Regions from separate parts of the Mus musculus genome. Here all the other regions are reported to be linked to region 1. The links are microRNA targets in miRTarBase. Many come from high-throughput screens and were not tested one by one. Region 1 holds a microRNA gene; each other region holds the end of a gene's coding sequence.
The links. Region 1 holds the annotated microRNA mmu-miR-9-5p (UCUUUGGUUAUCUAGCUGUAUGA, at 1,942-1,964, shown strand). A microRNA usually pairs through its seed, bases 2 to 8, with sites in the 3' UTR of a target mRNA and lowers its output. Matches are read on the target gene's strand: a 7mer-m8 pairs with bases 2 to 8, a 7mer-A1 pairs with bases 2 to 7 and ends in A, and an 8mer does both.

Region 2: miRTarBase lists Ptcd1 as a target of mmu-miR-9-5p. Seed matches in the 3' UTR shown: 7mer-A1 at 791-797.
Region 3: the mRNA of Psme4 is a reported target of mmu-miR-9-5p. The part of its 3' UTR that is shown has no 7-base or 8-base seed match.
Region 4: the mRNA of Ptch1 is a reported target of mmu-miR-9-5p. Seed matches in the 3' UTR shown: 7mer-A1 at 3,840-3,846.
Region 5: the mRNA of Gzf1 is a reported target of mmu-miR-9-5p. Seed matches in the 3' UTR shown: 8mer at 3,291-3,298.

The regions. Positions count from the first base shown.
Region 1 is chr7:79,503,338-79,508,468 of GRCm38, forward strand. Mir9-3 (microRNA 9-3) reads left to right here and starts at 1,927; the gene lies at 1,927-2,016. All of the region lies in intron 1 of Mir9-3hg (Mir9-3 host gene), which reads left to right. Gm51285 (predicted gene, 51285) reads right to left here and starts at 1,999; the gene lies at 1,942-1,999.
Region 2 is chr5:145,143,577-145,148,707 of GRCm38, reverse strand. Ptcd1 (pentatricopeptide repeat domain 1) reads left to right here. Exons shown (of 9, transcript NM_133735.2): 9 at 203-1,330. The coding sequence ends at 376. Bud31 (BUD31 homolog) reads right to left here. Exons shown (of 6, transcript NM_001310771.1): 4 at 3,687-3,809; 5 at 2,099-2,265; 6 at 630-873. The coding sequence ends at 823. Among named protein-coding and RNA genes, the nearest start is that of Bud31, 5.8 kb to the right of the region's middle.
Region 3 is chr11:30,877,832-30,882,831 of GRCm38, reverse strand. Psme4 (proteasome (prosome, macropain) activator subunit 4) reads right to left here. Exons shown (of 47, transcript NM_134013.3): 46 at 4,315-4,453; 47 at 2,471-3,168. The coding sequence ends at 4,319. It also overlaps a transcript of Erlec1 not described here. Among named protein-coding and RNA genes, the nearest start is that of Gpr75, 5.0 kb to the left of the region's middle.
Region 4 is chr13:63,507,241-63,512,371 of GRCm38, forward strand. Ptch1 (patched 1) reads right to left here. Exons shown (of 24, transcript NM_008957.3): 23 at 4,292-4,835; 24 at 1,088-3,872. The coding sequence ends at 4,293. Among named protein-coding and RNA genes, the nearest start is that of Ptch1, 56 kb to the right of the region's middle.
Region 5 is chr2:148,689,927-148,695,057 of GRCm38, reverse strand. Gzf1 (GDNF-inducible zinc finger protein 1) reads right to left here. Exons shown (of 6, transcript NM_028986.3): 5 at 4,825-4,982; 6 at 2,109-4,351. The coding sequence ends at 4,010. Napb (N-ethylmaleimide sensitive fusion protein attachment protein beta) reads left to right here. Exons shown (of 11, transcript NM_019632.3): 11 at 1-401. It also overlaps the pseudogene LOC108168731. Among named protein-coding and RNA genes, the nearest start is that of Gzf1, 11 kb to the right of the region's middle.

The DNA of each region.
Region 1 (5,131 bases):
AATTCGAGGTTCCTTCCTGGGCCTTGCTGTCGGTAGGTCGGCCCCTCTGTTTCTCTGATGCTTTTCAGTCTAGCCTGTGTCCTTTTTCTGAGACAAGGATTTGTCTGTGAGGTGGCATTTGGAAAGAGGTGTGTAACTGCTAGCTGGCTTGCTCACTGGCTGACAGGGATGGCAGTGGGGATGCAGCCCACCTTGGATTTGGGGTCAAGATAAAAAATAGGACGAATCTAAAACAAGCACGGGGTACAGAGGTGTGGTGCCAAAGCCTGGTATTAAACAAAAAAAATCCAGATGTGTCATTTAAGGGAGACTGCTTTAGATACCTTTAGAAAAATTCCCTGATCCCTTCCAAATCACCCACTTTGGGCCTATTCTTTGAACCCAGCCTTATGGGATTTGCTGATGGAGAGTGTGTAAGGGGTGCCCCCCCCCCCGCCTCACCAAAACAGATCTGAATGAGTACCCCCACCAAATCTGGGCTGCTTTGGGGATGCCTTAGCACAGAGAGTCTTTGGGACTCCCTCATAGTCACTGCTGGAATCCTGGAACCCGCTACCCCCCACCCCCACTCTATTGTTAAGTCAATCTCTAGATCTTGGATTTAAGATCTTTCTAGGGATGACTGGGGGGGGGGGAAGGAGATATCGAATTTTTCATATTTAATCCTTTGCCTCCCAGGAATGGGTGAAGGGGGTGAATCAGGGCTCATAGTGGGAGGGGTGTACAGGAGCAAGGAAGACAGGATGGGTTTCAGGTGAGCAACCTCTAAACCACCACGTTTAGGAGACTGAGACGGGACTTCAGTTTGGTGGCCAGGCTCAATTCTACTGTGAAACCTCAAAATGTCAATTCTTTTGCCCTGTAAAGTCACTTGGAGTAAGTGGGCTAGGGTGTGCTGTGAGCAGAAAGATGGCAGGAGCTGATTATTTTTATGGGAGGTGAATAGGAGCCCAATTACGGCCTTGGATATCTTTAAGGCGCAGGGGCACAATTGATTACATATCCTTGGCTGTACTAGGAATGGTCAGAGGGAAAGGGCTAACAATCTGGTGCCGACATTTAGGACCTGGTTTGAGCGAAGCATGCCATGGGAATCCCTACAAGTCAGGCAATATATATGGGATACATTGATCTAGACACCCACTCCTTCCCTTAATCCCCAGTCTCTACCGCGGTGTCTGTACAGTGCTGGGCAAGAAAAAAAAGGAAGAGAGACCTTAAGGATAAAGTGACCGGTTCGCAGCCTCTCCTGCGCTCACTTGGTTGCCTTGGAGAGACCTCGACCTTAAACCTCTTCCCTCAAACTCTAACTCTGGTGGTCTGCGGTGGCTGCCAGGCACCTAAGACGTTGCTGGGAGGTCAGAGAGGTTTGAGAGAAAGGCCAGACTGTGTGCATCCAAGCAAGCAGGCCTAAGGCTTCTGAGGGCAGAAGAGGCGCTCCCCTGTCCTCGCGGCGCAGAAGCCGTGAACGCCGAGGCCATTGTAAGGCTGGGTGGTGCCGAGCGCGGGAAGGGGGCTGGGATTTGAATGGAAGCCCGTGATAGGCCGATCCCCCGACTGACGTCACTTCCCCGCGGGGCGATTAGCCTGCGAGAGGAGGGCTGATGGTCCAGTGCGCTGGGGGCCGCCAGGGCGCCCGAGGCTGCCCAAGCGCAGAGCGCCGGTTACCCGAGTGCGCCCCGGGACGGCGTCGAAGCGGGCCGCGCACGCACTGGACGGGGAACTGGGGATGGAGAAATCGCGAGGGCGAGGGAGGAAGGGAGCTGGGCGATCCGGGTGGCGGGAGTCCGTGTGTCTGTGTGTCTGTCGGTCCCCTCTGGCTCTCCGCGTGCGCCCGGGGCTGCGGGAGCGGAGTCCGCTCAGGCCCCCGCGCCGGGTCGGCGGCGGCACGTGGGGCCCACAGCGCGGCAGCGGTGCCGGCGAATGGGAGGCCCGTTTCTCTCTTTGGTTATCTAGCTGTATGAGTGCCACAGAGCCGTCATAAAGCTAGATAACCGAAAGTAGAAATGACTCTCACAACTTCTGCGTGCGATGGCCCGGCCGGCCGCCCTGGCCACAGGAGCCAGAGGAGCCCAGAGAAGCCCACGCCACCCAGGGATTCCAGCTCGACGGAGCGGCCACGCCGGGACCAGGTATCCGACCTCGGCTCTCCTGGGGACACTTGCCGTGTCCTGGAGGCATTCCCTTCACCTCCTCCTCGGTCCCTGCACCCCCATCACCATTTCCCAGCGCCGAGGCTGGAACCCCGAAGTGGAGTGGGTTGGGGGCAGGGAACGGGCTGGGGTTGCAGAGGGGTCGCTGGCGGGGAAGGCGCCAGCCTTTGCCTTCACCCCATAAATCAGGCTAGAACAATCCACGCCCTGAGCTGCAGACTAGGATTTTGGGATGCAAATGCGATGAGAAAGAGAACGGAGAGAGGAAGGGAGAGAGGAAGGGAGAGAGAGAGGAAGGGGGAGAGAGAGAGAGAGAGAGAGAGAGAGAGAGAGAGAGAGAGAGAGAGAGAGAGAGGAGAGAGAGAGAGAGACCGGTAGGCAGTGTGTAGGGGGAGTAAAAGGGTGGGCAGGGGGCTGCCCTGCCGCTAACAATGCAGCCTTTATCGAATTATTCGACGAGTCAGCCCCTGAGCACCATTAGCATACGGCTGGGGGGTTGCTGGAGCTTCGCCCCTCGGTGAGGTCAAGTTCTTGATAATTTGATCACTTTTCACCGGCTCTGGCAGCTGCCTTTGTGTGCAGTTGGGGGGTCTGTGTGCAGCGTGAAGCGGAGCAGAACTGGCGGGGAGTGTACTCAATGGCAAGGGGCCTAGGCGGGGGGCCTCCCGCCCCGACCGACCGGCCCTGCCCTGCATACAAACCAAGAGCAGGCTGCTGGGCGGGAGAGACGTAGCCCAGATCCTCTAAACCTCTATAGTTCTGGTCGGACGGCTGGGGCCGGAGCCTCCCCAACTTCCCCAACTGGTTAAGGGGGAAGCCAGGCTCTCTGGAGCTCCTCTCCTTCCCGCCCCAATAAATGGCAACATAAGATGTATTACAATGTCTAGCAAATAAAAAAGCAATTGGGGGAAAAAATCTGAATTCCGTTCCCATGGCAACCCAATGCTGCACACCGGCCACTCAAGCTCCAGGTCCCTCTTAGCTGGGCGCTGCGAGTGGGGCGTGCCAATGTTCTGTGTCCGTGGTTCTTAGCCCCACAAGGAGCGGAAGGTCCCTTTGAGGTTTCTCTGCCTTCAGGTCCCTCTCCTTCCTGCCACTCCCTTTACTCTTTCCTTATCTTGAAGTTTGGGGCCCCCTGCAACTTAGGAAACCATTAGGGCTCCCGCGTGGTGGATGTAGACCCAGCTATGGACCCTATCAAGTGTAGGGAAGAAAGGATCCAAAGTCAGTTCACATACCTTAAGGCTTGGGGTCTTTTGGGGTTCTTTAAGGCACATATCAGTGTATACATGCTTTAGCAGATTGACTGGGAAGGATTAGTGCTACCATCCTGACTTGACCCGCTTTCTTTTCCTTGAACATATTAAGGAAGCAGATCTGGGGGGTGAGGGCCTACTCCTTAGGGAGTAGCACACACAGCGCAGAAGTGCAGAGGTGGGCACTACCTAGGTCACCTTACCTCCATCTTGGCCCAGTTCAATCCCAAGAGCCTCTTGCCTTAGTTATTTATAAGATTGGTCTCTCAGCCTCTATCCAGAACCTGCCCAGCCCCCTTGTGATAATAGAAATCTTTTTCCATCTTTGTGCCTACCAGCCGTTCCTCCCCCCCCCCCACACCCTTTGCTTAGCAAAATTATCTTAACAACAAAAAGGTGACTTGTGTAAAAGTAAAAATAAATTCAGTGATACAAAGGAGAACCTCCTGGGTCTGGGGAGGGGCAAGGTGTGGCTTCCATACGGTAGATGGAGAGTTTTTCACTGCATTGCCTTGGAATGTTAGACAAAATTAAACGCGGTGGCAGGAAAGCAGCTGTCTCTGTGCCTCCTTCTCAGGGACTCATTGGGTGGAAGGAAGGGGTTCGAGGTCCTTTCATCTTTTCCTTCCCGTTTCTTAGGCCTGTGAAGGGTCACTCGCGTGTTTGAGGACCCAGGAGCCTCCCTCCCCCCAACTGCATCTACTGGGCTTGCTCCCCCTTCCTGGTGCACCTGGGAGCCTGTGTGCTGGTGGTGACCTCATTTCTGAGGAAAGCAGAGCAGCTCTCTCAGCCTGCTTGCCCAGCACTCCCTGCCTCCACGTCTCACGGATGGGCTGGGGCTTCCCCAGAGCCTGCCCCGGTACTCAGAGCCTTCTCTTCCCTGGCCCCTCTCCTTTGCTATTTTTGTAAGAGCCAGTCCTTCCTACACCAAGGTGGTCACATAGCTTCACGACTGTGTCTTAGGTGTAGTTCAAATGTGTGTCGCCTTTGGTTCTTTTGCCGTCCAGGCAGGCTGGAGTCCCCCCATTAGGAGTCCCATGGAGGTAGAGTCCTAGCCTGAGACAGTGCAGGACTTTTACTGCTTTCTATGAAGGGGGAAATCTGCTGATACAAACCTTGCACTTTAGGGAAAAGATGAGGGCCTCAAGGGAGGAGGTGGTGGTGGTGGTGATGGAATGGGTCTGCTGATTCTGATTCACAGAGTTTATCTCACACCCACCACAAAAGGTTTTCAGGGGTGCCAGCCCATCCATTTTATCCTAACAGAGAGATGTTCAAATCCCACCCAGGACCCTTGGAGCCCGAGACACAGGCTTAAAATTGTGTTCCTTATCAACCTCCCTAGCTAGCCTATGGCTTCCTTGGGGAGCTTGGAGGGTCCTCAGCCTTTGCTCCCCCCCACCCATCCTGTCCCATTTGTTGAGCGTTCTCTGGCCTGACTGCCCAAGTTTGGGTTACACTGCTCCAACTTGCACTAACTAGTCTCTTTCTATAAGAAAAGGCTTGTGGGTCCTGAAAGCGCCGGCTGAAAGTACAGTTGGAAGCCTAAATTGGTTGAGATCTCAAAGATGTCAACACCTTTCATTTTACAACTAGAAACGCGGAGCATGTCGCAGAAGGTCACACGGTAGGCCACTTGGCAGGTCAGGGTTGAGAACAGCCCTCGTTGAGAAGGAGGCTTCGAAGGCTTCTTCCTCCGTTGTCCAAAGAATTTCAACACTG
Region 2 (5,131 bases), not on the chromosome of region 1:
GGAAGGAAGGACAGTGGTCAGCTGCTGTGACTTGGGATAATTTTGGGTGATATGCAGTAGCTTAGATTGGCTGAAAACATTTCTGAAAGCTCTGCTTTCTTAGCATATCCTGTGTTCATTGTACAAAGCTATGGGTTTCACAGTGAGGCTTCTGTGCCTGTATCTCACTCACACTGACAGTCCTGTGCATCTCTAATTATAGTACAAAGGAAAAAACACCTACTTGGAGAAGATTGATGGCTTTCGGGCTTATTACAAGCAGTGGTTGAAAGCCATGCCAGCAGAGGAAGCCCCCCACCCCTGGCAGGAGTTCCAGAACAAGCCTGTTGGGGACCAAGACACCACTGACAAGGCTGGCGGCCTTAGGGACGGATGACGGAGCACGCGGCTATGACAAGTGCCCAGCCTTCACACTGCTGGGGGAGCCTGGGAGTCCTTTCAACTTCAGAGGCCAAGAATATTCCAGAGGCACCACAGCACTTTACAGGCAAATGCTGGGCTCAGGGTGCCCAGATCATAGCAGGTCCCACACCAGGCCAAAGCATCCTGACAACGATCATGGTCACACAGCATCTACAACACAGAGCCAGGACTAAGCCCATCCCCTGGCACTCTTAAAAGAAAGAATGTAGCGAGGAGGTCTAAAGGTTTTATTTTTACAGATCTCAGCTGGTGAACACTAAAGTCGTCACCTGTACAGCTCATGCTTCCCCCCCTGGGTCTTTTCTCTGAGCACCACTCTGAGAAGAGTTGCTTCAGGCAGTGGCCCAATAAGTCTTAAGTCCAAGGTCCAAAGACCAGGATGCAGAGGAGTCAAGGGTGTCAGCCAGAGCAACCCCGGCAGCCACAGTGTGTGCACTCGATGATGCGACCCTGAAACAGAAGAAGAACATTTGAACACACTGCTACAGCCCTGCACACTCCCTTGCAGAGCATCTCTACTGGACACTTCTACTTGGGCGTCTCAGCTCCTTTGTGACGTGGAACAGTTACTACCAGGCGGAAGTTAGTGTCTGTGTGTGATTGCTGTAACAAGACACACTTGTCACTGCCAAGAGGGCGAAAGCCAGAGTTCCTGAGGCCACTGGGTGGGGATGGGGGTCCTGGAGCAATGCTGTCTTTACCTCCTTTTCTGGAGGCCACGAGCCCATTCTAAACAAATAAAGTTCTCTGGTAACGTTCTGTTAGTTTTAACTGAGTGCGTCTCATATATAGGATGACCCTAATTTTCTGGTCCTGCCAACAGCTGCTGAATGCTAGAATGACAGATGTACACTTGCACATCTGGCTCTATGGGGCACTGGAGATGGAACCTAGGGCTTCTAGGGCTTCACGCATTCTAGGGGGCCATCTACCACCTCAGGCAACATTCCAGCCCTGAATCTCAGTTAAACCTCAACCACAGGCTGGGACACCAAGAGCTTCTTGGGAAGCAGCTATTGCCCACGAGCCATGGCTCAGCACATCATACAGAGCTCCACCCTTGATACCGAGGACAGAGCTACCTGCTGAGCTGAGGCCATCTGCACTCAATGAAAACTCTGGGAATTAAGACTTGCTTCAGTGTACTGAGAGGACACAAAGTCAAAGGATGGACTGTCTGTTCTGACCTCCGTCTGGCTCTCCATTTCAATGATGTGGAGACTGGAGCCCAGCTACTGCTTGTGGGTGCCTGGCCTGCCCTTGAAAGCACTTTTTCTTCTGAAGCAGGACCTCAGTACTAGCCCAGGCTGGCCTCCACCTCCCAAGTCCTGGCTATGGAACAAAGCAGAAGGCATGCAGAGATGAATGTGCCTGTGAGACTCGAGGGATAGATAGGTCACCTGACAGCCAGCCTCAAAGCATAGCCCTCCTGTCACTTGAGAGCCACTGCCATCACTACTCCCTAAGGAGTGAGGTCTGCTGCAGTTACTCGCCCACTGACAGTACTGAGACCAGCCCCAGATACCACCTTAAAAGGATCCCTGGTCAGGACTCACTTTTGAGAAGGGTGGCTAGAAGGGTTCTAGTGATGAAACTACTTCTCAAAATACCCTCATGGTCAACTAAGACAAAGTTTTAAACAGAAAGTAACCCCCATCCAACCGCTGGGCATTACCACTTCCAGCTTGCTTTTGGGAACCCGGCAAATGCAGTTGGTGCCAAAGTTGGTGTCCCGAGTCTGAATGCAGCGTAGGCAGCATAGGTTCTCATAGCCCTGCTTCTTCCACTTTGCAATCAGGTTTTTGTCTGCATAGCCTTCTTTAATGCAGTATTCATAGAGTTCTGTCAGAAAGTTGGGGACAGACATCAGAACATGGCGTAACAAACCTGCCTTCACCTTGGACTGAAAGGAAAAGTTAGGCTGAGTATGACGGCATGAGCCTTTGATCCCAGCACTTGGGAGACAGAGGCAGAACAATCTCTAGTTCGAGGTCAGGCTGATCTATAAATTGAGTTCTAGAACAACTATGACTACATAAACCCTGTCTCAAAAAACAAAACTTAAAAACAGCAACAAAAGCCAATAATCCCAGAAATGAGCAGAGGCAGGTAGGGCATTGTGAGTGTGAGGTCAGTCTGTATATAATAAATTCCATGTCAGCCCGGGCTACAGAGTGTAGCCTTATTTCAAAAATAACAACACCAACACACACAAATGACTTCAGCTTTCATGGTAAGAAAACTGATGACTGATGGGTTTGCAAAGATAATCATTGCTTTAATTTCCATTTCTGGAGCCACGATCTCCCACTACTGCTGTGGATTTCCCTAGTGCTATTTGTATTTTGATGCTAATTCTGTTTCCCCAAGAGGGCTGCCTGGGACGTGGAGTGAATCATTACTCGGGTGACTTCATGTGAGCCTTCTCCCCATTTTAACTTGTAAAATAAAGACTAGAGCCGGTGATTGGGCAGTGGAGGGGAAGTGGAGCTAAAAAATTTTGGGGGGAGAGGGAAAAAAAAGTGAGGGGGAGAAAGAGGAGAGGAAGGAGAGAGGAACACTGAAGTGGAGGACGAGGTAGAAGGAAAATGGAGCAGCAGCACGTGGCCAAGAGAAATCACAAGTTAAGAGGGATCTCATAGCTGTAGCAGTGTAGGAGTAGATCTGCCCAGTCTAGGCACGAAGCTTGTATTCGTATTGAGTTGTGTTTTCCTTGCATGGGCTTATTTGGGTTGGAGATTTACCACAACACATTACAGTCAAGGGTTAGCTGGAACTCCCTAGTCCTCTGCCTCTGCTTCCCAAGTGTGTAAGTATAGGTCTGAACCATGACACTTGGCTTTTGTTCCCTTTCTTTTCTCTCATCCTCCTCTTCCTCGTCTTCTAGTTTTTTAAGACAAGGGTTCCTGTGTAGTCCTGACTGTCCTGGAAGTAGGACACATAGAGATCAGCCTGCCTCTGCCTCCTGAGTGCTAAGATTAAAGGCATGTGCCACCAGACCCAGCTTTTTATAAACTACTGTATAAATCCTGAAAGCCACTCAAGTACAAAAGAGCCAAGAGGCAAGATGGCCCAGGGACCAAGAATGCTTTCTAGATAGGTCTAATGACCTGAATTGGATCCCCCAGACCCACATGGCAAAGAGAACCAAAACTGCAGGTTGTCCTACAACCTTCACACGGAAGTCAAAACACATGCTTGCCTCCATAAGTATGGACACACAGTAACAGTTTTTTTAAAGGTCAAGAAATTTAGCCATTTACCTCTGCTTATGGCTTTCCTCTTGTAAAAGAGGTCGAAGATATAGCGGGTTTTCTGGTGATGGATCCTGAAGATGGGCCACAGAGATTCCACTTTCCTCTTTCCCTCATGGGGTTCAGTTTCAGCTGGGAAGAAAAAAAGCATGTATGTGTTCTGGAGCTAGTCATTCTACAGAGGATGTAGCATGTTTGCTTAACTATAGCTATGACTATTTTATATCCATGCAGATAGTAATGCAAATAATGAACAATTAAAAGGGCCAACAAGGGGGCTGGTGAGATGGCTCAGTGGGTAAGAGCACCCGACTGCTCTTCCGAAGGTCCAGAGTTCAAATCCCAGCAACCACATGGTGGCTCACAACCATCTGTAATGAGATCCGATGCCCTCTTCTGGTGTGTCTGAAGACAGCTACAGTGTACTTACATATAATAAATAATAAATCAATCTTTAAGAAAATGCTGACAAGAACTGGCGTCCTCAAGCCCTTCTAGCAGAACGCAGACTGGTGTAGGAAATGTCAGGCAGCTCCCCAAGAGCTTAGTTACTGTGAGTCTAGGAATACATCAGAGACCTGGAAATAGACTTTTCACTCCACATTCTGATTTCCTTTATTTTTAGAGTTATGTCAAGAAATCTCTTGGCCCATAGCAACTCTGTAGGTTCTGGGTATTTCAGAGACAGTCTAGCACAATCAGTTGAGAAAAGAGAAAACCAAGTTAACACTGGCTTAATAATTATTGCTGCAGGTATGACCTCATAATAGTAATGATCAGATTAGCTATAAACAGGTATTCCAAAGATTGTTGTGAACAGACATTCAGGGGGAGCTGAAGAGAAGATTCAGTGGTTCTTACAGAGAACCCAGGTTCTATTCCTAGCACTCAGGTGGCAGCTCATAACTCACTCCAGTCCCAGGGAGCCAACATCCTTTTGGTCTTTCTAAATACTAGACACAAACAGCACACATGAGGCAAAACACTCAAGCCTATTTCTTAAAAAAAATTTCAGGGGGCCCATGGGATACATCAGTGGGTAGGGGTGCTTGCTCCCAAAGCAGACGAGAGTCTGATCCCTGGAACCAACAGGAGAGAACTGACTTCTCTAAGTTGTTCTCTACCCCTCCACACTAACTCTGTAGTACTACCCTGCCTAACACACATACAAATACCAATTTAAGTAGTCATACAGGAAGATGGCTTTTAAAGTTATCATCTTGCCAGATGAAATCACCTAAGGGAGCCCCACTTGAAGAGTGACCTAAGTCATATTGGCCTGATTGAGGTAGAAAGGCCAACTCTGAATATGGTCATCATTCAGACGCTGGAGGTGTAAGGCCAGAACTGGCTAAGGGTGAACAAAGCGAGTTGGCTGAACTTCTGTATTAAGCAAACAGCATGTGTTCATTGATCTCTCTCTCCTGAAGTTTGGTATCTCTCGTTTTATGTAT
Region 3 (5,000 bases), not on the chromosome of region 1:
ACTCAAGAAGAACGAAAACCAAAGTGTGGACACTTTGCCCCTTCTTAGAATTGGGTACAAAACACCCATGGAAGGAGTTACAGAGACAAAGTTTGGAGCTGAGATGAAAGAATGGATCATCTAGAGACTGCCATACTCGGGGATCCATCCCATAATCAGCCTCCAAACTCTGACACCATTGCATACACTAGCAAGATTTTGTTGAAAGGACCCAGATATAGCTCTCTTGTGAGACTATGCTGGGACCTAGCATACACAGAAGTGGATGCTCACAGTCAGCTATTGGATGGATCACAGGGCCCCCAATGGAGGAGCTAGAGAAAGTACCCAAGGAGCTAAAGGGGTCTGCAACCCTATAGGTGGAACAACAATATGAACTAACCAGTACCCCGGAGCTCTTGACTCTAGCTGCATATGTATCAAAAGATGGCCTAGTCGGCCATCACTGGAAAGAGAGGCCTATTGGACTTGCAAACTTTATATGCCCCAGTACGGGGGAATGCCAGGGCCAAAAAGTGGGAGTGGGTGGGTAGGGGAGTTGGGGGGAGGGTATGGGGGACTTTTGGGATAGCATTGGAAATGTAAATGAGGAAAATACCTAATAAAATATTTTTTAAAAAAGGAACTATGAAATCTGATAGCATTGCTTTTGTATTTAGCTTTAGCCTCTGAAAAATAAAGTAAATAAATTAATTATTTAAAAATAAGTAAATAAATAAATACAGTAAAAGAAGAAAAAAAAAAGATGTTGGTGAAGCTGAATCCTATCCAGAGAATCTTAATTAAGGGCCACACTGACTACCAATTACTTTATTTATAAGCTCCCACTTAAGAATCACTGTTAAAGTATAGCTTTATATAGTTTAGTTAGAAATAGCTGGAGTATTCTTCCCTTGGGAGTTCTTTCTCTCAATTTCCCTAACAAAACTAATGAAAGGAAAGGAAAGGAAAGGAAAGGAAAGGAAAGGAAAGGAAAGGAAAGGAAAGGAAAGGAAAGGAAAGGAAAGGAAAGGAAAGGAAAGAAAAGAAAAGAAAAGAAAAGAAAAGAAAAGAAAAGAAAAGAAAAGAAAAGAAAAGAAAAGAAAAGAAAGAAGGAAGGAAGGAAGGAAGGAAGGAAGGAAGGAAGGAAGGAAGGAAGGAAGAAAGCAAGCAAGCAAAAGATAGGAAAAAAAAAAAAAGAAAAAGAAAAGCTGAGGTGGGCAGTACAGTCTTACTCAAGCAGTGGCCTTGAGAAATCAGTTATGGGGTTTGTGCTACCAAACCTTATTCCCCTTCTGAGACAAAGGCTATGTAGTCCTGGCTGTCCTAGTAGTCAACTCTGTAGACTAGGCTGGCCTCCAACTCGGAGATCGATCTGCCTCTGCCTCCCCCGTGCTGGAACTAACGGTGTGCACCACCATTTGCCTCCTTGTTTTGTTTTTACAGAACTTTGTGTGATGACAGAGAAGTTCTACTGTACCATTAAATGTAATAATCACTAATCATACATGGCTAATTACCACTTAAAGCACACCTAGTGAGCCTGGCTACTGCACTCAACAGAGCAGAATTAGATCATTCATTCTGGCCACAATTCATTCTAAGTGGGAAGAAAGTCACAGATCTAAATCTAAGAAGGCAAAAAGAACCCACAAAAGTTGCTCCCAACTGAACTGTCTTCTCTTCAGATAAAAGTCAGGTATTAAAAACAGTCCATTTTATTCGGTTTTTAAAACTAGTTACACAGTTGAATTGACTATTCATTAGGTACTATTCTGTACGGGGATTATGCCTGGGTATGGCGACACTTCAGTACTGTAACAAGCCCACTACTGTATGTGTATATTGAGACACTCGGCATAGAGATACTAAAAAATGACTGTAGTATTCCTTTAAGGAAGATTGTAAAGAGTGTGTTAAAAGATGACATTTATCAACTTGTGAATTATTCCAACTAGAAGATAACTTGCACTCTATAAAGTTGTGATAGGCAAACATGTTATCATTTAAAAATGCACACAAAAAAGGTACATAAAAATCCAGATATTCTAGTAAATAAATTTAAAAAAACCTAAAACCTATGTTTCAGCTTTTGTAACACGAGAAGATAAAGAATATAACTTAAAAACATACACCAAAAAAACAAGTCACACAATGGTCTGCGTTAAGGGTTGCATCTGTACAAAATCTTGTCAGTGTTATCTCTACAGTTTATTGTACAATCTTTTACATCTACATAACATACTAAACAAGTCAAATATCAAGACTTATTAATATTAGTGATTCTGTAGGCAGGCATACAGGTAGAGGGGAGAGAGGGGGAGAGGGAAAGAGAGTGAAAAAGGGGGGGGAGAGGGAGACAGAAAGGGAGAAGAAGAGGGAGAGAGATCAAAAACTGCAATCTTCCACTCATTTGAAGTGTAATGTATTTCAAGGTGGGGTGTAAAACAATATTTGTATGGACTACAGGGTAAAAAACAATCAGCCATGGTGTTTATTGATGTTCTTTTTTATTTTTAAAATCACACATTGTATACACATACAAATCAGTCTAAAATTTATTCACCAAACCCCCAGTTTTTCAGCAATTGGCTCTTACTCAGCACCAAAAACTCCAGTCTGTGGAGATACAGACATCTGCAGTGTGGTTGAGCGTGTCAGGTTCTAGGTTAACTCTGAGACTTTGCCCCCTTTGATCCTTTTCTCTTCATGGCTCTCTAGACACAAGGCGGTCAAAACTTCAGATTCATGACCCATGGCCCTACTAATGCTAAACTCAACAGCCTTTGGGGAAGAACTCAAAATAACGTGAGATGAATGAAATGAGAGAACCTACATAATTGATGAGCATTCTCCATTCCGAGGACATTGTTGTTTTTAACAACGTTCGAGACTGTTTGGTCATAATACCATGATAGTACTAGGCTACTTCTAGTCTGAGACTTTGTGACTTTGTCATATGTCTCAAAAGAAAAAGTGATCAGTACTCAGGGAACACTTCAGAACAAGTTAGGAAATCAAATGGCAGCTGAGAACCTGTGAGCGAAGACTAATGAGGCCAAACAGAGAAGCCACCAAAATGATGAAAGCTCAAGAGAAGCTGAGTTGTGAAACTTGCAGAGTCACCACGGATGATACCTGAGGATCTGGAGTTTTTGATGAAATGAGCCCAGAATGAGGACTAGTCATCTGCATTAAGAAAAATAAAACAAAAAATTATGTCAGATTATCAAAACACTCAGTTCTAAAATCCCACCAAACAGATTGTGTTTATTCTCCTTACCTTTGTCTATACAAAGACTTTCTGGCCCTCTGTTTTTACAGAAATGTAATAAGCACTTAGGAATTTAGATGAGTTGTGCATGGTAGGGAATGCCTTTAATACTAGCATTTGAGAAAGGGGAGGGGTGGAGGCAGAAAGAGCTCTGAGGCCACCTGTTCAACATAGTGATTTCTAGGCTACCCAGGGCTACATAGAGATAAAAACTCTATCTGAAAATTAACAAAACAAAAACCAAATAAACAAATGAACAAAAGAATCCAGATGATGAGACAGAGAGATGGCTTAGCAGTTAAGAGCATATGTATCTGTTCCCAGCAGCCACAGGGAGGCTTACAACTATCTATAACTCAGTTCCCTCTTCTGGCCGCCAAAGGCACGGACGGCATGCTCATGTGAATATACACAAATACAAGTCGAAGATTCATACACATTTAAAAACATCCAGATGAAGTGTTCTCATGATTGTAGAAACCAGAGTTCCTAGTACAACCCCAACTTCTTTTCTTTCACCTGACTATCCCAGGCTACTGATGCAAGTTACTTATTTTCTAACTGTCCCAATACAGTCACATAAATTGCCTCCCTAACAATGGAAACAAAAATCAAGAAAAATTCTATAATAGTTATTTCCACTGACCACAGACAAAGCTGTATTTACAATCAACCCAACAAAATCCTCTGAGGGTACAGGCACAGGCTACCATGTTTGTTTACCTCAGCACTGGAAATCGAATTAGGGTCTCATCTTTGCTAAATTTGGGCTCTTCCTCTAAACTATCTACCCCCTACCTCAAAAGTCATGTTTAAAAGCATTCAAGTGTGGTGACACATAGCTGCAATCCTAGTGTTCATGAGACTATGGTAGGGGAATCTCAAATGCACGGCTAGCCTGGTCTACATAGCTGTCCCTGTCTCCAAAAGTCAAAACAAAGAACTCTCTTCACTTTATCTAAGCAGTTACATCTAAAATGTTAGCAAACCTTAAAATCTTGTAGGTATTTCCTTGGCTACTGGTAGGACGACACATGCTGGGAAAGACCCATGTAACTCACCCCTCTATGCATAATAGCATGGTGACACAAGGAGGTCAGTGAGGACAAGCAGCTGGTCATCAGTGAACTGCTGCTTGTGTTCTTGCCAGTTGTCATGATGTGTCCTTCGGAAATTGGATAAGGTCTTCTTTACAGTCATCTGTAATTGACCCATATACATTTTAACCTCTAACAACCAGAGTTACATGTGGGTTATCTTCAGTTACACTAGTATCCACCTAGACCTCAGCTCTCACAATGTTAGAAAACCAAGTCAATTTTCTGTCACTAAACCACGAATATTATATATATATTTATATTCTATAAAATTACTAGTTTAATTTCAGGACAAACAACTGTAATATATTGTCACATTGCTAGACCAGTTCAATATATATATATATGTATATATATATATATACATACATCTACGAAGGTGACCTGTTTTGCGTAAGAGCTTGGGTGCTTACTAATAAATAATACAACTACTATTTCTACTTTAATATTAGCTTTCAGTGAGATGAGACTTTCCAGACACAAAATGCCATAATAATAGTAGTAGCAAGAAACCTAACTTTCTAGCTAATGCTGTAAGTACTCTTTATGCTGGGTTTGAAAGAATAGAAGATACAGAATTTTATTTTGTTGTACATGAGAGAAATGTCTCTGGTTTTAATAATTATAGAGTAAACTTGACCATATCAGAG
Region 4 (5,131 bases), not on the chromosome of region 1:
ATTAGCCTGGAGGAATTTACAAATTGTTCCTACTCTTAAGAGCACACTCCTGGGTTTCTCTCCCACAGAACCCTGACTCTCAGTACCACTGGACTCTGGGTTTTCTAGCATGCTTCTAAGGCATGCTGACTGAAGGACCACACTTGAGTAGCAATGGCCCAACACTTCCTTGCCTTAAGAGGACCTGGCAGATTTCTTCCTGAAGACCAGAGAGCAAGTATTTCAACAGTCTGCAGGTCAGTCAATCACTATTGCACACCACACAATTCTGCCACTATAGCGTGAAAACAGTCATGAATGGTGCGTATAGACAGATATGGCTGTCTCCTGACAAATCCACACAAAACCAGGAGGTAGTCTTGGCTACAACTGGCTGATCCTCCCTCTAGGACACGCGCTTAGAATGGTTTGAGCTTCCAGGTCTTCTGGAGCATATATTTACAATCACAAAAACAGGTGATCAGGAGAAACGGGTGTTAATCTCTACTCATGTTTTCCTCATGTATGATGAGGTTATGATGAAATCACATCACTGAACCCTTTTTAAAAAAATCACCTTGTAGCAGGCCAGTGAGCACTCCATCATCAGCTGTACCAGGTCAGTTAGTGCTATGTCATCAGCTATGGTGATGCTATTGTATTTAAAAAAACTTCTCAACTATGGTGATGCTATTGTATTTAAAAAACTTCTCAACTTTAAGTCAGTGTCTCTTTGTGTGTCTGTGTGTGGGGTGTGCACGTGTATGCAGGTGCCAGTAGAGGCCAGAAGAGGGCATCAGATCCCCTGGAGCGTGAGGCAACAGTTCTGAGTGGCTCTCTGTAAGAGTAACTGTCACTCCTAACCAACCACTGATTGACCTTTGCAGGGGTCACTTGTGTTTACACTGAATTTGGCTGTATTCACTTCCCGCGTGCCTACATAGAAAGGTAAGAAAAGGGAACGCTCAGAAGAGTCATTAGGTGACTTCCCCAGTGTCCACAAAATACACATAAAACAGCTTCCGTAAGGCCAGCAAGAAGAAACGAACAGACGGCCTGGAACTTCTTGTGTATATGTAGTTTAAGAAACATTCTAGAAACAAGCACATAAACCAACAAGTTATATTATCTTTATTCATGTTAGAATTTCTATCAGTGTTTGAACATTAATATTTAGAGAGTTTTGTACATTTTCATCTGAGAACCGCACTAGGTCACCATGTTCACACCGATACTTTCCAATCACATGGATCACTGCTCACGTGTACTCTCCTAACACTGTTAAAACATACTCTCTTCTCTCCCTTGCTGTCATTTATAACGAAACGTGTCCTCACACCCATGTCTCAGCAAAGTTCCAGACATTATGGATTTCATCACATATAAATTCTTTAAAAATATACTTCTGTCGAAAGACTTGATGACTACTATGTACACTACAAAAATAAATTTTCATATAAATAAATTATATGGCATACTTTCATCTTTGTAATTGAAGTGACACAAACTCATTTCCACCCAAATTGGCAGACGAGACCCAGTTTGAATATTTATTTCCTTTAAACTCCTTACACTAAAACCTACCATGAGTCCTTAATGTAAATGTTATATACTCTGAACTATTTAACATTAGTAAGCACTCTATACAAATAAAACTTCTGTTCAAAAGTAAAACATAACTGCAATAAGTGTTTCCAATAGAAATAAAATCCCTGCAATTTTTTCTTCTTGTTATAAACTGGCATGACAAATTCTGGAGGACATTCTTATGATACAAAATTATAAATATCAGCAAAGATCTTTTCTTTTACAAATTAAAACATCCAAATGAACAAACAATACAGACAAAATAAAACTATGAGAGAGACAGACAGAGACACACACTCTCTGACTTTAGTCTCCTGCCAGCTCTGTGTCCTTCCTGCCTTGGCTGATGGGACTCATGATGATGCACAGAAGCCGAGAGGCTGTACAAACTTCCTTCTGCCACATGCACAAGGCTCAGGCATGAGGGACACAATCAAGAACCACAGCCAAGGTGGCTTCCGCACTCTACATCTCCCTCCTCAACTCAGGGTGCAAGATATCCGAGCAGAGCTGGTGTTGGGTAGGCAGACAGTGGCTTGACAGGCATTAAGACAGTAGCAGTGGATGGCCAGGGCTTCTGGCGCGCACGCGCACACGGATATACAGACAGACACAGACACACACACACACGGTAGTCACAGGTGGCTTCCAATTAGTACCTTACAATTTGGGGGATAAATTTTAGGATCTGAGGGCACTAGATTATTGGTACTACTAGGGACCCATCTCCTTAAATTTTTCCATGAAGGATAGGAGGGATTCAGGGAAGCTGCATGCAGACAGAGTACATTCCTCACAACAGCTTCCATGAGCACTAGGCTTCCTTCCTCTGAGACAAGTCCTCAATGTTCACTTGCAAGGAATAAGGGCATTTCCTTCCCTATCTACTAGTTGCTGACCAGAGACAAAGAAACCCAAACCTTGGGGAAGGAGAACACAATCAAACTCTAAAGCCCAACACCTGGTTCAAAGAGCTTACCCTATATGCTTTTACGAGGTGGCATCTTCCTGCTTTCACAGACATCACACTGGATGGATGCTAACAGTGGGGAAGAGAAGAAAGTATACACAGGAAAAGACCGTGTGGAAAAGAGTCCTTAGAAACTCTCCCCACACAGTTGACTGAACCACGATTAGCCTAGCCTGCTCCAACCAGGCAGTCATAGCAAGGGAGGGACTATCATTTGTAAAGGCTCGAATATAGACCTTCAGTGAAATAGGTTTTTTTGGGCCTGTATCTGGAGTATGGGGGTGGGAGGCTGTGTGTATGTGTGATCATCAGAAAGGAACAACCACACACCCCTAGAGGGTAATCTCATGACCCGGCTGAGTCTCACCATCAGGCAACATTGTCCAATCTTTCACCACTAGTGCTGACTGCTGACTATATAGAGGCCCTAATAGGCAGCACAATGTTTGTGAGAACATCTTCTCTTTGAAACCCAAGCAGAGGTGCTTGGAGGGCTACCCATGACCTCAGAAGCTGCCACACACAGGCATGAAGCAAATCTGGCTTCTCTTGAATAGTCCCAGAGAATAGGACAGATGATTGGGGTCACCTTTCCACCAGCATCACGACAGAAAAAGACCTGGACCTTCCCAGCCCACCTAGGCCAGAGCTAAGATCATACAAAGCAACAAAAAACACAAAAATGAACAACAACAGCAACAACAACAACAAACCACAATACAGTACATTGGAAAGTCACATGCACACACACATCCACCCATGCGAACCATATACAACTACCCCTAGAGAAGCCACTGGGATTAACCTGTTTTCTTCATGTCTGCTCGTTAAACAATTACCACGCATAGCGTGTTCAAAAGTTAACAGTAACAATTCATCCTACCACAGGGTTGTGATATGCAAATTTAAAATATTTTAAACAGAAACCTTTACAAATAATCCTATTACATAAGCAATATTTGCATAGAATTATACAAGTAAATTATACAATATTTAAGCAGCAGCGACATATGCTGGGAGATTTTTTTTAAAACTAAGTTAAGCTTGGTTGTGGCACAGAGACCAATGTACACAGGGGAAAGGGCCCCTGTGGTCTCCCCACTCTGGGGCAGGAGTGGAGAGGCCCCAGGAAATAGACTGTACAGCATTTCCATGTATATTACATGTGTACACCTTTTAAATATTTATAGAAATATTTCACAAAATAATACAATCAGTTACAGTAACAATGAACTGCCTTCCCATAATTCCAAGCAGTTCTCTTCAAGCAGTTCTGGAAAGAGGTGGGGGCGGGGCTTTCCAATCTTTGGCCTCTTTGCTTCAGATTTTAATTACCCTTTAAAAGAGAACAAAAAAGGAGGTCACATTATGGTCACTACCACACTGAACTGTGAGCCTTACACAGCACAGCTCTTTACTCCCAGTGGGCAGCTGAGAGCCCTGAAACTCTGACTGGGGTGCTAAACTCATTTCATCATTTTTTTCCCCACCCTGTAAAGTCATCTGCATGGTTGTTAGAACTCTGCTGTAAGTGCCCAGCAAACAGGTACAAGGTTAAACTATTAAACTGGCATTCTAAGGGATTAATAGCAGGGTGGGGGGGGGGGGAGATCCAGTTTAGAACGGTATTGTTACTCTAAGGATGAGTTTGGCCTCGTCAGCTTTGCCTTGGGAATAAAAGGTCCCCCAGGGTCTAGTTTGGGCCACCGCTCAGATGGCCCTTGGAAGCACCACGGGGATACCTCTGGCACACACCTCAGTTGGAGCTGCTCCCCCACGGCCTCTCCTCACATTCCACGTCCTGTAGCTCTATGACCTCCACCTTTGAGTCCCTCCTCTCACACCTGACATGAAAAGGCACATGAGGATCCTCAAATACCCCGTGATCAGTCTCAGGGTAGCTCTCATAGCCTGGACAGGGCCCCCCTCGGGGGTTGCGCCCAGGTCCAGGCGGGGGATGCACAGCAACAGTCACCGAAGCAGAAGCCGTCACAGTGGTGATGGGCTGGCAGTAGCTGGGCACAGAGCTGCCCATGGCGGTGGACGTTGGGTTCCGAGGGTTGTGAGAACGGGCCCCACGGGGCCCTGAGCGGTCCCTATTGCTAGGGCCAGAATGCCCTTCAGTAGAAATTTCAAAAGCGTCTCTGCGCGGTCTGTAGGGGGGTGGCCGCAAGCCTTCTCTAGGGGGATCCCTTCGAGGCTGCTGGCCTTGCCGTCCAGGGGACAAGGAGCCAGAGTCCAGGTGGGGCTGTTGCCGAGGGGTCAAGGGAGGCTGATGTCTGGAGTCCGGATGGACCACCTGCAGAGGAGAGACATAGGTCAACACAGGGAGGTAGGATGGTGGTGATGTTCCACCCACAAAAGAAAACCTATTCCTTTAGAAACCTCCAGGATGTGAATCCTGCCTGCACCTGCACAGCTGGCTGGAGGCATATAGCCACTGCCCATAGATCTCAACTTACCCTCACAACCAACTGCCCCCAGGCCTAAGTTCTCTGCCTCAAAACTGCCAAGGCCTGGATAGCCAAGAGCCTGGGTGTCTTGGAAATATGCAACCATAAATAGTAGCTTTTAGAAGTATAAGGCTCCTGTTTC
Region 5 (5,131 bases), not on the chromosome of region 1:
CATCATGGCTCCCTAACACACCTCCATGAAGAAGTGTTGGGTTGTTAAAGTAGTGTTTGGATTACTTTGCTGCTTGTAAAGAAACTTACTCACTTATTTGCTTTTCCTGAAGTTAAATGCTGGGCCAGGCATCATGAACACTTGTAATCCCGCAGTATCTACAAGGTGAAGGGAGGAGGATTGCTGTGAGGTTGAGGCCAGCCTGGACTCCCTAGTGAATTCCAGGCCAGCCTAAGTTAATGTGAGACTCCATCTATCTCAAAAAACCAACCAACCAACCAACCAAAAAAAAAAAAGGACTGAAAGGCTGAGGTGAGTCCCTGTTGAGTTTATTTTGTCTCAGCACTTGGGAGGCTGAGGCAAGAGGAACGTGATTCCAGACTAAGCTAAGTCAGACCATCTAAAAAAAAAAAAAATACAAAGAACACACTTTTGGCAGAAGATAAAAGAATGAGGACCATGTCCGGACAGGAGTATGCAAGCTTACTCCCTTCAAATGTCCCGCAGACACAGAGCAATGCATTCTCTCAAGATGTCCAGGCTTTAGGCTTTCATGGTCTCTAGAATATTGTGACCAAAACGCAACGATTGTTATAGTTCTCATATTTGAGTGCATCTGGAGATAATTCATAGTTATGGCAGTTAATATTTCTTACAGAAAAGTTTTCCTTTTGTGGCAACATTTTTATAGCTTGTGTGAATTCCTTTTTTTTTTTTTAATGACATAAAACAGTATTTTTGCACAGTTGTAACCATGTGTGATGGTGTCACTATAACCAAAGTATATGCACCAGCCCTTGTGCATTTATTGTTCCCTCTGGTATTGTGCACTTAAAATGTCCAAATTCAAACCTCTGTAACTGTGGAGAATCTGGCAGCAGCACAGCATGCCCGTGACCTGCCTGCTACAGTGTGAGCTGTGACCAGTAAGCAGGCACTGTAAAGTCCTAAGTTGCTCTCAGGCAAGGGAGTCCATTACAAAAACAAATCGTGTAACAATAAATCTATCTTAGCTAAAAGAACGTTTGTTTTATGTGAACCTGTACAGTAAATAAAGTGGAAGTTATCGGTAACCTTTTGACTGTTTTTTTGGCTAGTGAAATTGACTCAGGTCAGAACTAGTTTCTCCCCCTGAAGCTTACAGCACTACTTTTGCTAGGGGCTTTGTGCCAGACTCACCTGACGGTTCTGCTGGCAGCGGTTTAGAAGTTAGAGTGGTGTAACATTTAACAAGTTAAAAGTTGTGACTGGAGGCAAAGCTTGGTGACCAAGAGGACTGGCTCCTCTTCTGGAGGACCCTGGTTGACTTCTAGCAGTGCATGGTGGCTCACAGCTGTAACTCCAGTTCCAGGGGAATTAATCCCTCCTTAGGCACCAAGCATGCATGCTGTACACAGACATAGAAACATGCAGTGGAAAGTCCCATGCACATAAAATCTTTAGAAAGTTAAATTATAATCTACACTTCTGATTAGATAATCCCCAACAGCAAAAATCTAACGGTTCAAATTCCTGGCCCGTTTTTTAAAACTGCTACAGAAAGCCTTGATAAAACCAAAGGCTATAGAGCTCTCCCGTGTTTGAACTATGTTGTGACATAGAATGGTTGTAATGGCACCAGGTCGCCTCTTCAGTAACCCTTATGGATGCTCTGAGAGTAATATGCTGTCAGAGCACATTTGGGACAAATTCACTAAAGGCAGGTCTTGCTTTCTCACAGCATAAAACTATTTAGATTAGAAGTACGTGAGGCACCACAAAGTGGTGTAACTCTAGGGCCTATGTCCCTAAAGCTCACCTCCCCTATTGGGAAGAGATAAGATGGATATAGCCAAGTGTTCACTGATGCCTGCTGCGAGCCCTTATGCTATACGCGGCCCAGATCAAAACTGACCACTGCTGAGCAGAGGCCATTCTCCTGTGTGTGCCACTGTTGATTTCAGGAATGTAAGTCAGTCATCTGTGGTGACTATAAATAGAAGACCCTGACTTGAAGTTTTAATGTTCATGCTATTAAACAAATTAGACTAAAAGAGTCTATTTCTTTAGATCCTACCTTAAGTTATAATGTAAATAAATTTAGAAGGACTTTTACAAAGCAGACATTATTAGCACATTAAACAATTTTATTTAGAACTTCTAAAGAAACAAATTCAAGACAGTTCTTCCAATAGGTAACAAAATAATCTATTGTTTAAATTCCTTCTCATCAAGATGACTTTATTCCATAACACAGTACATCAGCTGGGCAGGTTTTCTCTTACCAGATAAAATGGTCATATGCCAATCACTAGTCTTTTTGTCTGTTTTTGTCTGTAAACACAACTAGATTGCCAGGTCATAACCGAATGTGAAATAATTCAGCCCTGAACTTTCAAGAGCAAGTGGGAAACATTACCAGCACCTGGAACCCCTTTTGGTGGCCTCGCCAGCTCCTGAGGGTAGTACCACAAAGTGATCACTGAGTGAGAACTCTCAGTTTCTATCATTGTGTGATCTATCTTCACCCTGAACATTAGGAGTCATTCCCTTAGAAACCAGAGTGTTTTCACAGCAAGTTTAGTAAAAGCAGAGAGGAAAGGCAACCAGAAAGCATAAGAATTCCCCCTTTAAGGCCCTCTTAAAATTAATGCTTAAGGGTCACAGGTGGCACAGGGTCCACATACCCATCCATGGCCCTGCAACCATGTATCAGGGATAGCAAGTACCATAAAATGCATTTTTCATAGGAAATTTGTTGAACAATTACTAAATTCAGCATGAGAAAGCCAAAGGAACATTTGAAACAACATCCCTGGTTCCTTATGATCCGCTTGTTAAGGCATAGAAGTTGAGCATACCAAGGCTTCTGGTCCCCTCTAGTTCAAGGGTTCTCAGCCTTCCTAATGCTGGGACCCTTTTATACAGTTCCTCATGTTGTGGTGACTCCCAGCCATACAGTTATTTCCATTGCTACTTCATAACTAATTTTGCTACTGTTAAGAATCATAATTAAATATCCTGGATTGTCTGATAGCTTAGGGCAACCTCTGAAAGGGTCATTGAGAGCCACTGCTCTAGAGTCTTGCATTCTTCTAGAGGTGAATTTGTAGCAGTTACTAGTTTGTGTCATCTTCCCCTGTGAAAATGGGGGTTTGGGGAGCTCTGGACATTATAAAAAAGCCTGGCAAAATAGTCAAGATTTGCCAGGCTCACTCATCATGCTGTTTGTGAAAATGTACCTAGCTAAATGCTCTGACACCTAGGCTTTATTTCTCACACTTCTGTAGAGAGACAACTGTCTGCTGGATTCTTTGGTAGGACAGCTTTGACTTAATCTGATTTAGGGAACAAAATTCAACAGCTCATCCCAAATTGGATGTTATGACAGACTCCTTACCTGTACACATGCTAAGGTACTACCCTGAACATGTTCCACCCGCCATTCATCTTTTCGTGCCTACAAAAGGGGGTTGGAGAGAAACGAACGGAATCATCTACTTCTTCAACCCCATTCTAGGGTTCCCAGAATAAATCTTATTTGCTTTTATCTCAGGAAGAATCAGCTAAAAATAAGTGGCCCCAGTTCTACTTTAACCCTGTAGAAAAACGCCCTAAAGGGACCAGAGTGAAGTAAACACACATGGAAGCATAAGGCAGGGCGAGACCAGGAGACCACGAACAGCACTTTCCCAAGCTGGGTCAATGCTGTGTACTCTATGATTAAGACAAGCAGTGGTTTAGACGTCAAGAGAATCAAGCATTAGTGTGATTGACATGTACGGCTACACCAGGGTTAAATGAGCTATGCTAACTGCCGTGTTTGCTGATGAAATGTAGCTGAGATCATGCAGATCAGAATGTTAACAGAATGTTCAAGTGTGAAAGAGACGTGCAAGGTCATGGAAGTCTGAAGAAACCTGCAAGGCCAGTCTTGCCTACATTTTTGCACAGACAACTTTTCCTCAGCCCCTGGCATCACCTGGAATACAGCAATTACACAGACTGCTTGGCACACAACTTCAAGTTCTCACTCCATATTGGTCAAGGAGGGAAGGTGTGCAGGCATGGAAACTGCCTGTGGGGTGAGCTCACCAAGGGCACTGATGGAAGTGGTAAGCAGAGCGTCCTGAGACACCACTGCTTTGCAAGCAGCGCCTGTAGAGCTGTTCTCCTGCACGGCAGGCACATTGCCTTGGACTTCCAGTAAGTTGTTGAAATGGCTATTTTCACCAAAAGATAGTAATCGATCTGAAAGTTTGGGTGATGCATATTCATCATCGGGTTGTTCTGTCTTATGCCCTTCATCATTCTTGGGTGAGCCATCTACAATGACAAGGAAAGACTTCCACGGCGTATTCTTATCATGTATCTACAAATAAAACAAAATAAGAGTCACTGCACGTGTAGCTACGTTTCCCAGTTTACAGATATTTACTAATGCATGCAAATTTTAAAACAATAGGCTCTCTTTAGGGCCAGACACTGGCACACAACCACTCAAAAAAACCCCATAACCCTAGCACATGGAAGGCAGAGATGGAAGGTCATAAGTCCAAGAACAGCCTGGAAAACAGAGCTGGACTGTTTATCGATCAAAAGGTTAATATTAAAAAATAAACAAAAGATCTCCCTGGCTTTTAAATCTGTGCACTAATTACCAAGTATCTGCCCTGTTCAGCAGCTACTGCTTGCAAGTGTTTACCATAGGCTTGGCCATAGGGGTCCTTCACCTTATTGGCTAGATGTCACTTCAGGACACCCAAAGAGAGAACCTGCTACCACCTCTGACCCTTTGGACTGACCAGAAGGGCTTTGTTTTCAAGCAGGCTACTCATCACTTACTGAGGTATGCCTCCGGAGAGTAGACTTGTCAGTAAAAGTCCGTCCACATGCATTGCACATGTATGGCTTCTCCCCAGTGTGGATGCGATGGTGGCGCTGGAGGGCATTTACCTGGGTGAACTGCTTCCCACACTGGTCACAACAATAAGGCCGCTCTCCTGAACAAAGAAAGAAGGAAACTACTCAATGGCATCTTCAGTCTCCTTTTAACTCTGGATACACATCTGTGCACCCTGGCTACTCTGAAGACTCAGCACAAGGGAAGTTACATCACCATGACCCAAGGACTACCTGGCAGAGGCACCAG